2 linked regions of the Danio rerio genome follow. The protein of the gene in region 1 interacts with the protein of each later gene in a biochemical or structural test. Links are inferred from orthologs where the notes say so. Each region holds a gene or a part of one and is shown on either strand. Other genes may lie near its edges.

Region 1 (3,825 bases):
TTATTACTGATTACGGATGAGTGGCCAGCGGTGCACAATCATATCACGTGCTCCTCTCGAAATTAGTTTATGAAACTTCACTTGTATGTTTTTTATCTTCGTTTTGTCTTGAAAATAATAACCTAAAGACTCCTACTATAACTGTTTTTACTGTCTCCGCTTTCTGAATCTTTCATTTAGCTATACTTTTAATGAGATAATTACATTTTGATCTTTTTTTGTGTGTGTTTTCTTTAGTAAGCTAAAACATTTGTGTTAAACATCTAATTTCTGTATGTTTTTTTTAATTCAGTAAAAAAAAAAAAAAGTGCATTTCTAGTCTGTTCCTACAATTTGGTCAACTTTGTTACATTGGTTTTTAAAAAAAGTGTTCAACCATTAAAGCAGAGAACCTTTGTACACCTTTAAACATTGTAACCTTTGATTTTGCTCGCCATCCCATCTGAGAAGAAAGGGAAGATTTTGGGGAGAATTGGGGTTAATGGTTTTAATATACATTATCATTTCCAATTTAATGAAATATAAGTTTGGTTATTTTGGCCCTTCATAAGAAAAGATTTGGGCACCCCATGCTTTAAAATGCTTATTACTTAAAAATCATGTGATTTGCTTCAAGTGATGCCACTTGATCTGGGGGGAAGCTCTGGAAAGCATTGAGATGTATTCTACTCTCAATCACTTGTACAAAATATCTACACTGTAAAACCCAACAGTCAACTTTATCAAATGAAATGAGTGTAGTTAACTCAAAATTTACTGAAAGTTAATTCTTCTCATTTGAAAAGAGTTTTGAACTCAGTGTTGAAGGTGATAAGCTAATTAAATACCTCATTACTTTAACTTAATTAAAGTAAGTTCACAGTACTCATATAGATTAGTTTTTTTAACTCAAATGGTCTGTAGCAATCGGTTTCCTTAAATGATTTGAGTTGCCTTAACTTACCAGGTTTTACAGAACTCAGTTGGTTTGTCTTATCTTAATTTATTGGGTTTTACTGTGCTCAAATTTCTTTATTTACTCAAATGCACAGGTGTCAAACTCAGTTCCAAAAGGGCCGCATCTCTGCACAGTTTAGTTCCAACCCTAATTAAACACACCTTTTCAAACTATAATTGAGTCCTTCAGGCTTGTTTGAAACCTACAGGTAAGTGTGTTGGAGCAGGGTTGGAACTAAACCCCTGCTCAAATGGATTAAGTTCATAGTACTCTTTAAGATTAACTTTTGAACTTAAATGCATTGTTGCAGTCGGTTTTATCAAGTGGTTTGAGTTTCCTTAACTTTTCGGGTTTTACAGTGTTTTAATTAGGAAACATCAACATTAGATATATAGATTAATTATTTGTCAACTCTGTTACTATAATAGTTCAGTGAATTACTAACACATTTTCTTAAAAGCTATAGCAATATGATGAAAATACATACAATTCAGGTTTAGACATGTGGTTAGTCCTGTGGTATCTGGTTTGAGGTTAAAACAGAGGTTAAAATGTTGGAAAAAGTCAACTCTGTTTGAGATTTTAACGATTTAACAACACTTAGTAACATATTTAAATGTATTTTATCACATTTAAGCATTATCTGCATTAATAATGCATTCACTTTAGTATTAATGATACATTTTTGTTCTTTATGTCATTCTAATTTAAAGGAAAATGAATAAAAATCATACTGTATGTTGTCATGACTTATTGTTCATGTCATTTATTATAGTGCAGCATTGCTCATGTTTTGGCCAATTTTGCTTGCATTAAAGCTACTGACGTTCCTGAGGTTGTAGACCAGAACTTCAGCATCCAGCTGAGCGCCAGTATGGAGGATTTGAAAGAGGGAGATTCAGTCAACCTCACCTGTGAGACTCCTGCTGGAATGGCTTTCCACCAGCAGTGGCTGCATCCCCAAAAACAGGCAGGAATTTCATTTGATTTATTTCTCTCTCTTTGCTTTCTGTTTTGTGGTTATCTATTAGAAGAAAAACAGGCTTATCTAAAAGTCCAGGACTGAAGATGTATGGTGTGATGCAGAGGTGATATTTCCTCAGTCCATCTTTAACAGTAGGAAGGAAATGCAAAAATGTGAGGCTACAGAAGTGAAGCTAGAAACCTCAAAGGAAAAGAGTGACACTAATTTACCATGTGCTTTGACCTGTGACCTGCCCGTCCTGTGAGTGTTGAAGACAGATGTGCGTTTCTCACCTCTGTGCTCTTGTGAATCCACATGTGTGACGGTCAGGAACATACAAATAGTTGAATCAACATTTTTGAGGAAATTTGCTTCCTTAAATGAAATATTGCTGGTAGTAAGTTGTAGTTAAGGATAGTGTAATATGTTTTTTGTTTATTTTTTTGTGTGTGTTTGATTATTGTGAGTTTCGAATACAGAAATGTGATTATTAGTTGTTGATGCTGAATGTAGTTGAAATGAAAATGAAAAGAGGTTAGTTAGTCAGTAAGTCTGTCAGGTAGATAATTAGTTACAGAGTTAGTTGGTTTTATTTGACAATATCCTGTTGTTTATTGTAAGTTTTAATCAAACAATGTTAGCTTTATTTTATTTGTTGTTTGTGTGTACAGTGATGTTAGCTCCAAACCAAGAGATGTATGTTTAAGTTAATGGAACTCTTGAATGTGTATAAAAATATATATTTAATTTATATATATATATATATATATATATATATATATATATATATATATATATATATATATATATATATTTGGTGTTTGGTTAAAATTACTTAAAAAACAAGCAGATAGTTTTGAGGTTATAATATGTTAGTTAGTTTTGGATCTATTTGGTGGTGAGCATGAGTTCAAAACGTATAAGATGGTTTAGGGGTGTATTTTTGTATTTGATGAATAAAGAGAGTCTCTAATAAATGAATAATATATAGTTAGTTAGTTAGTTAGTTAGTTAGTTAGTTAGTTAGTTAGTTAGTTAGTTAGTTAGTTAGTTAGTTAGTTAGTTAGTTAGTTAGTTAGTTGTTTGTTGGTAGTTGTAAATTTCAGACAAGTTGTATTTTTGTATGATAAACATGAGAACCAAATTTAAAGATGTTAGTTAGTTAGTTAGTTAGTTAGTTAGTTAGTTAGTTAGTTAGTTAGTTAGTTAGTTAGTTAGTTAGTTAGTTAGTTAGTTAGTTAGTTGTTTGTTGGTAGTTGTAAATTTCAGACAAGTTGTATTTTTGTATGATAAACATGAGAACCAAATTTAAAGATGTTAGTTAGTTAGTTAGTTAGTTAGTTAGTTGGTTAGTTAGTTAGTTAGTTAGTTAGTTAGCTAGCTAGCTAGTTAGTTAGTTAGTTAGTTAGTTAGTTAGTTAGTTAGTTAGTTAGTTAGTTAGTTAGTTAGTTAGTTAGTTATTTATAGGTCCAGTTTAAAATGTTTTGTTGTTATTTGTTGGTAATTGAAAATTCCAGACAAGTTAGCTAGTTTTTTTTTTTTTTTTTTTTTTTTGTATTTGATGAATGTGAAAACCAAATGTAAAGATGTTAAATGGTTGGTTACTTAGCTTAAGTTCTAAACATTTTGTTGTTATTTGTTGGTAATTGTAACTTTTAATCAAGTTTGCTTGATGGCTTTTTTGCATTTGATGAATGGAAATACTATATTAAAACTTAGTTGGTTGGTTGGTCGGTCGGTCAGTCAGTCAGTTAGTTAGTTTGTTAGTTAGTTGGCTAGTTATTTAGTTGTCATTTTTGTGTGTATTTGATAATGAATGTGAGTTCTGAATTAAAAGATGTTGGTTTATTAGGTTAGTTTGTTCCACGCCTCTGTTGTTGTTTGTTTAAGTGAATTTGTCAGAAGCATTATCTTTAAAAATGAG
Region 2 (4,620 bases), on another chromosome or scaffold:
CACCTGTGAGTTTTGGTGGGATTTAGAGGAAAGCAAATTACATGGCCCCAGGGCACCCCACACTTCATGAATGGGGTCTTTCTGTGATCAGAGAGAAATCCCTTCTCAGGGGACCCAGTTACCAGGAGCTTTATTTTTTCTCTTAAATACACATACAGATGTGCGTTTCGTGCACATGAAAGCCAAAGGTAACTTCAACTTCCTACTAAGCATAATGCTGTGTGAACCTCATAAATTGTGACCATTTATGGCAAGCTGTTTTAACATGTATTGCCCTACACTAATTAATACCTAGTTTTTGTTACATAGTTTTGTTACTACACTTGTTACTTTACTTATGCTAATAATATATTTGGGTAACACTTTATTTTGATGGTCCATTTGAGTATTAGTAGACTGTCTGCTTAATATCTGTTGATACTGCTCCTTCAACAGACATTTAACTGATTATAAGAAACTTTGCAAGTACATGTCAACTAACACTAACCATAACCCCAACCTAACAGTCTACTTATAATCTAATGAGAATAAGTTGCAATGTAAATGAAACTTAACAAACAGACAATCAAAATAAAGTGTGACCGATATTTTTGTGTTATTGCAAAAGTAGGTCCTAGTATATTTTTGGACACTACATTAAAAAAGATTTAGAAAAAGATTATTGGCAAAATGGAAACAAATGAAAACCCAAAACATTCAAGATAAAGAACTAATAGTCTAAATAAAAAAAAAATAAAAATAAATAATGAACTGAAATATTTAAAATTAATGAAAAATGCAGCTAATTTCATATTAAAAGAGTTGCACATATTGCATCAGATTACTTTTTATGGAGTCTTTCCCCCAACTGATGAGCTTTATAACCAATCACACACGTTTTTGTTCAATTCTAAAAACTGGAAATCAAAATAGGTTTTATATAATTATGTATTAACATAAATTAATCAACGCTGCTCATCATTACTAAAACATAACATTCAACAGTTTTTTTTTTTTAATCTTAGATAATTTTGCAGGCCTAGTCAGTAATACAAAAAGGGCTTTTAATGCAGTTTTATTTATAATATTTTATTGGTAACAGTACAGTGTCCTGATTAAAGTACTTTGTTACATTTAAGTATTGATATAAGACAACACCGCAACAATTATTAAGGTAATTATAACAAAAATGTCTAGAAAAAAAGTGTCTAGAAATATATATATTTCTAGATGTCCTAATGTTGCAAGTTAACACACATTTTTTCCCAACACATCCCATAATTTCTAAAATATCAGCCTCTACCAAATGGTTGATATGTTGGTTTATGGTACAGTAAATGTACTGAAACTAATACATATACTATAAAAAACTGAAAATATGAAGTGTAAGACTAATTTAAAAATAATCAAAATAAAACATTATTGAATACCAAATCATCTTAATTTTTCGAAGTATATGCCATAAAATATTCCAGATTCTCATTTAACACGTTTTTACTAAAAAAATAAAATCAAGAGTAGTAGTGCAACAGGATTATGTTTGTTTGATTCTTACTTAAAAGTCATTATTTAAAACAGTAAAAACATGGCCAACCGTTTGGTAGAGGGTCAAAGGGTTATTACAATAGTTAATTTCTGTTTATAATAGTTGTGTTTATTAAGCAACTATTACTAGTTTGCCTCAGTTTTACTAGTACTGACAATTAAAAAAAAGTTGATATTTCAATTTTAGTAGTGCGGCATAACAGACACTTGTATCTACTTAATAGTACACAAATGAGTAACATGTTTATATAGCTACAATTATCTTCAGTCAATATTTTAAAAAGTAATTCATAAGTAATAAATGTAAAAAAGGCTTGCCATTGCCATTCATTGCACATGAACTCAATGCAGCGCCATCAGAAGTCCCACAAAACTCAAGAGTACAAATATAGTGCTTGGTCTAAATGGGAGTCAAATATTGGTCAAATTTATATAGGTTATAATTAATTATACAGTGCTATAAAATAAATAGCAATAATGCATTTAAAGGAATATGTATAAAAGGGTTTGTTATGGCTATTCAAAAGTTAAAGCAGCAGCACCATGCAGAAGTCTCTGCGCGGATGAAGAAATGACTCTTTGAACTTACCGTTCTGTTCTTTCGTGCTGGCGTGGTGAATCTTACTGATGTGACTCGATTCCGCCACCGACTCATGTTGATGAAGAGACGATATAACAATCAACAGAAGCAACGGAATCATTTGGATAAATGGTGGCTGTCGGTGCACTTAGTATGCGTTGTTTCAATCACCATGCAGAAATATTGTTCGTGAGACGCGTATCCAACTTTGGACACATCTGTAAGGGGCACGCGTAAAGTAAAGTCCACATAATCCTGATCAGCCAGAGTTTCTGCAGCGAAAACTTCTAAAGTTTTCCGAGACGCGTCTGCGCAAAGTTAAGCATTAATAGTTGTTAGTGAGCGCACACCTGTTCGCCTAAACACAGGGACAGTTGGAGAAAACTAAAATCTGAGACGCGCAACATACATTTGTCTGTCTGTAAAGTGTTTCTCTCGCGAACTCAGATAGTCCACTCGCATTACGCAAAACATAGCGCCCGGCTCTGGGTAAATGCCACTTGTAGCGTCCAACTTAGTGAAGGAGATGAATGTGTTGAGGAGGCTCCAGGAGTTTGGCGAGCGCAGACGGCCGACTGGCGACACAACAGGTGCTGCGCATAAAGTAAAAGTTCCCCGCGGAGGAAACTCCCCGGAGAGGCGGGGACCATTCACAACTGCTGCTGGTGCTGCCGTCGCTTTGAGTCAAAGACTAGATTTCTCACATTTCCACCGCCACACAAGTTTATATGTTTCTCTCTCTCTCTCTGTGTGTGTGTGTGTGTGTCTGAGGGGGAGAAAGAGAGCGAGCATATGGATTAGTGACGTGAGACTCATTTCGTCAGTTTGTCGATCGATTAAGTTATTTAAAAGTAGGTCTACATAAAATGTAATGCATTCAGAAATCACTTCTAAGAAACATTTGAGTTTTATTATTTTAATATATATTTGTAGTTTTGATGAGCTCAGATAAATGTCACATTTTTGAGTCTGCATCAACATAAATGAGTTGATTTTATATAAATAAAAGCTTTTTAAATGTAAATGTTCAATGTTTTATAAATAACTGATAATAATTTATGAAAAATTCTAATTACTGAAATATAACATCAAAATATCTGTGAAAAGGGTCCCTTAATCAGTGTAACACATAACTATGTGTAAATGCCACAGCCATATCACCCTGCAACCCAAGACCGGTTAGTCACTGAAGCTAAACAGGGCTGAGCCTGGTCAGTACCTGGATGGGAGACCACTAGGGAACACTAGGTTGCTGTTGGAAGTGGTGTTAGTGAGGCCAGCAGGGGGCGCTCAACCTGTGGTCTGTGTGAGTCCTAATGCCCCAGTAAAAGTGAAGGGGACACTACACTGTCAGTGGGTGCTGTCTTTTGGATTCTCTGTGGTCATTAAAAATCCCATGGCACTTCTCGTGAAAGAGTAGGGGTGTAACCCCGGTGTCCTGGCCAAAGTCCCTCAACTGGTCCTTAAGATCATGGCCTCCCAATCATCCCCTTCCACCAAATTGGCTCTATCACTGTCTCTCCACTCCACCAATAGCTGGTGTGTGGTGAGCGCACTGGTGCCGTTGTCCTGTGGCTGCTGTCGCATCATCCAAGTGGATGCTGCACACTGGTGGTGGTGTGGAGAGACTCCCTCTCATGATTGTGAAGCGCTTTGGATGTATGGCCATACATGATAAATGCGCTATATAAATACACATTACATTACATTTACATTATAAATGAACTAGTACACTTAGCGAACCTATTAAATAATGTTAAATAATAAGTGAGAGTTTATGACATTAAACAAAATAAACCTGACACAATATTTTTGTACAATCATTCATTCATTCATTCATTCATTTTCTTTTCGGCTTAGTCCCTTCATTAATCAGGGGTCGCCACAGCGGAATGAACCACCACCTTATCCAGCATATTATGCAGCAGATGCCCTTCCAGCTGCAACCCACTACGGGGAAACATCCATACACACTCATTCACACACATACTACAAACAATTTAGCCTACCCAATTCACCTATACCATGTTTTTGGACTTGTGGGGAAAATTGGAGAAAATTAACATTATATGTTGGGCACCTAGGGTCTGCATTAACCGCAATTTCTATTCTCTGTATGTCCTGTGGCGAGGCAGTGGCGCAGTAGGTAGTGCTGTTGCCTCACAGCAAGAACGTCGCTGGGTCGCTGGTTCGAACCTCAGCTCAGTTGGCATTTCTGTGTGGAGTTTGCCTTCGGGTGGGTTTCCTCCGGGTGCTCCGGTTTCCCCCACAGTTCAAAGACATGCGGTACAGGTGAATTGGGTAGGCTAAATTGTCCATAGTGTATCAGTTTGTGTGAATGTGTGTGTGGATGTTTCCCAGAGATGGGTTGCAGCTGGAAGGGCATCCGCTGCGTAAAAACTTGCTGGATAAGTTTGCGGTTTGCTGGCGACCCCGGATTAATAAAGGGACTAAGCCGACAAGAAAATGAATGAATGAATGTATGCCCTGTACATGTGGTTGAATTGACCTGACTT

Evidence for each region.
Region 2: the proteins of pdgfra (region 1) and pdgfc form a complex in vitro, tested with the Homo sapiens proteins (2 studies listed by BioGRID and IntAct, with this or other methods). The link is inferred for Danio rerio from reciprocal best matches to the Homo sapiens genes PDGFRA and PDGFC.

What each region holds. Positions count from the first base shown.
Region 1 is NC_133195.1:25,016,121-25,019,945, reverse strand, and holds part of pdgfra (platelet-derived growth factor receptor alpha precursor), read left to right. Parts: intron 1-1,755; coding exon 1,756-1,907; intron 1,908-3,825. UniProt on the Homo sapiens protein: Tyrosine-protein kinase that acts as a cell-surface receptor for PDGFA, PDGFB and PDGFC and plays an essential role in the regulation of embryonic development, cell proliferation, survival and chemotaxis.
Region 2 is NC_133189.1:40,275,170-40,279,789, forward strand, and holds the start of pdgfc (platelet-derived growth factor C), read right to left. Parts: upstream 2,807-4,620; 5' UTR 2,226-2,806; coding exon 2,114-2,225; intron 1-2,113. UniProt on the Homo sapiens protein: Growth factor that plays an essential role in the regulation of embryonic development, cell proliferation, cell migration, survival and chemotaxis. Potent mitogen and chemoattractant for cells of mesenchymal origin.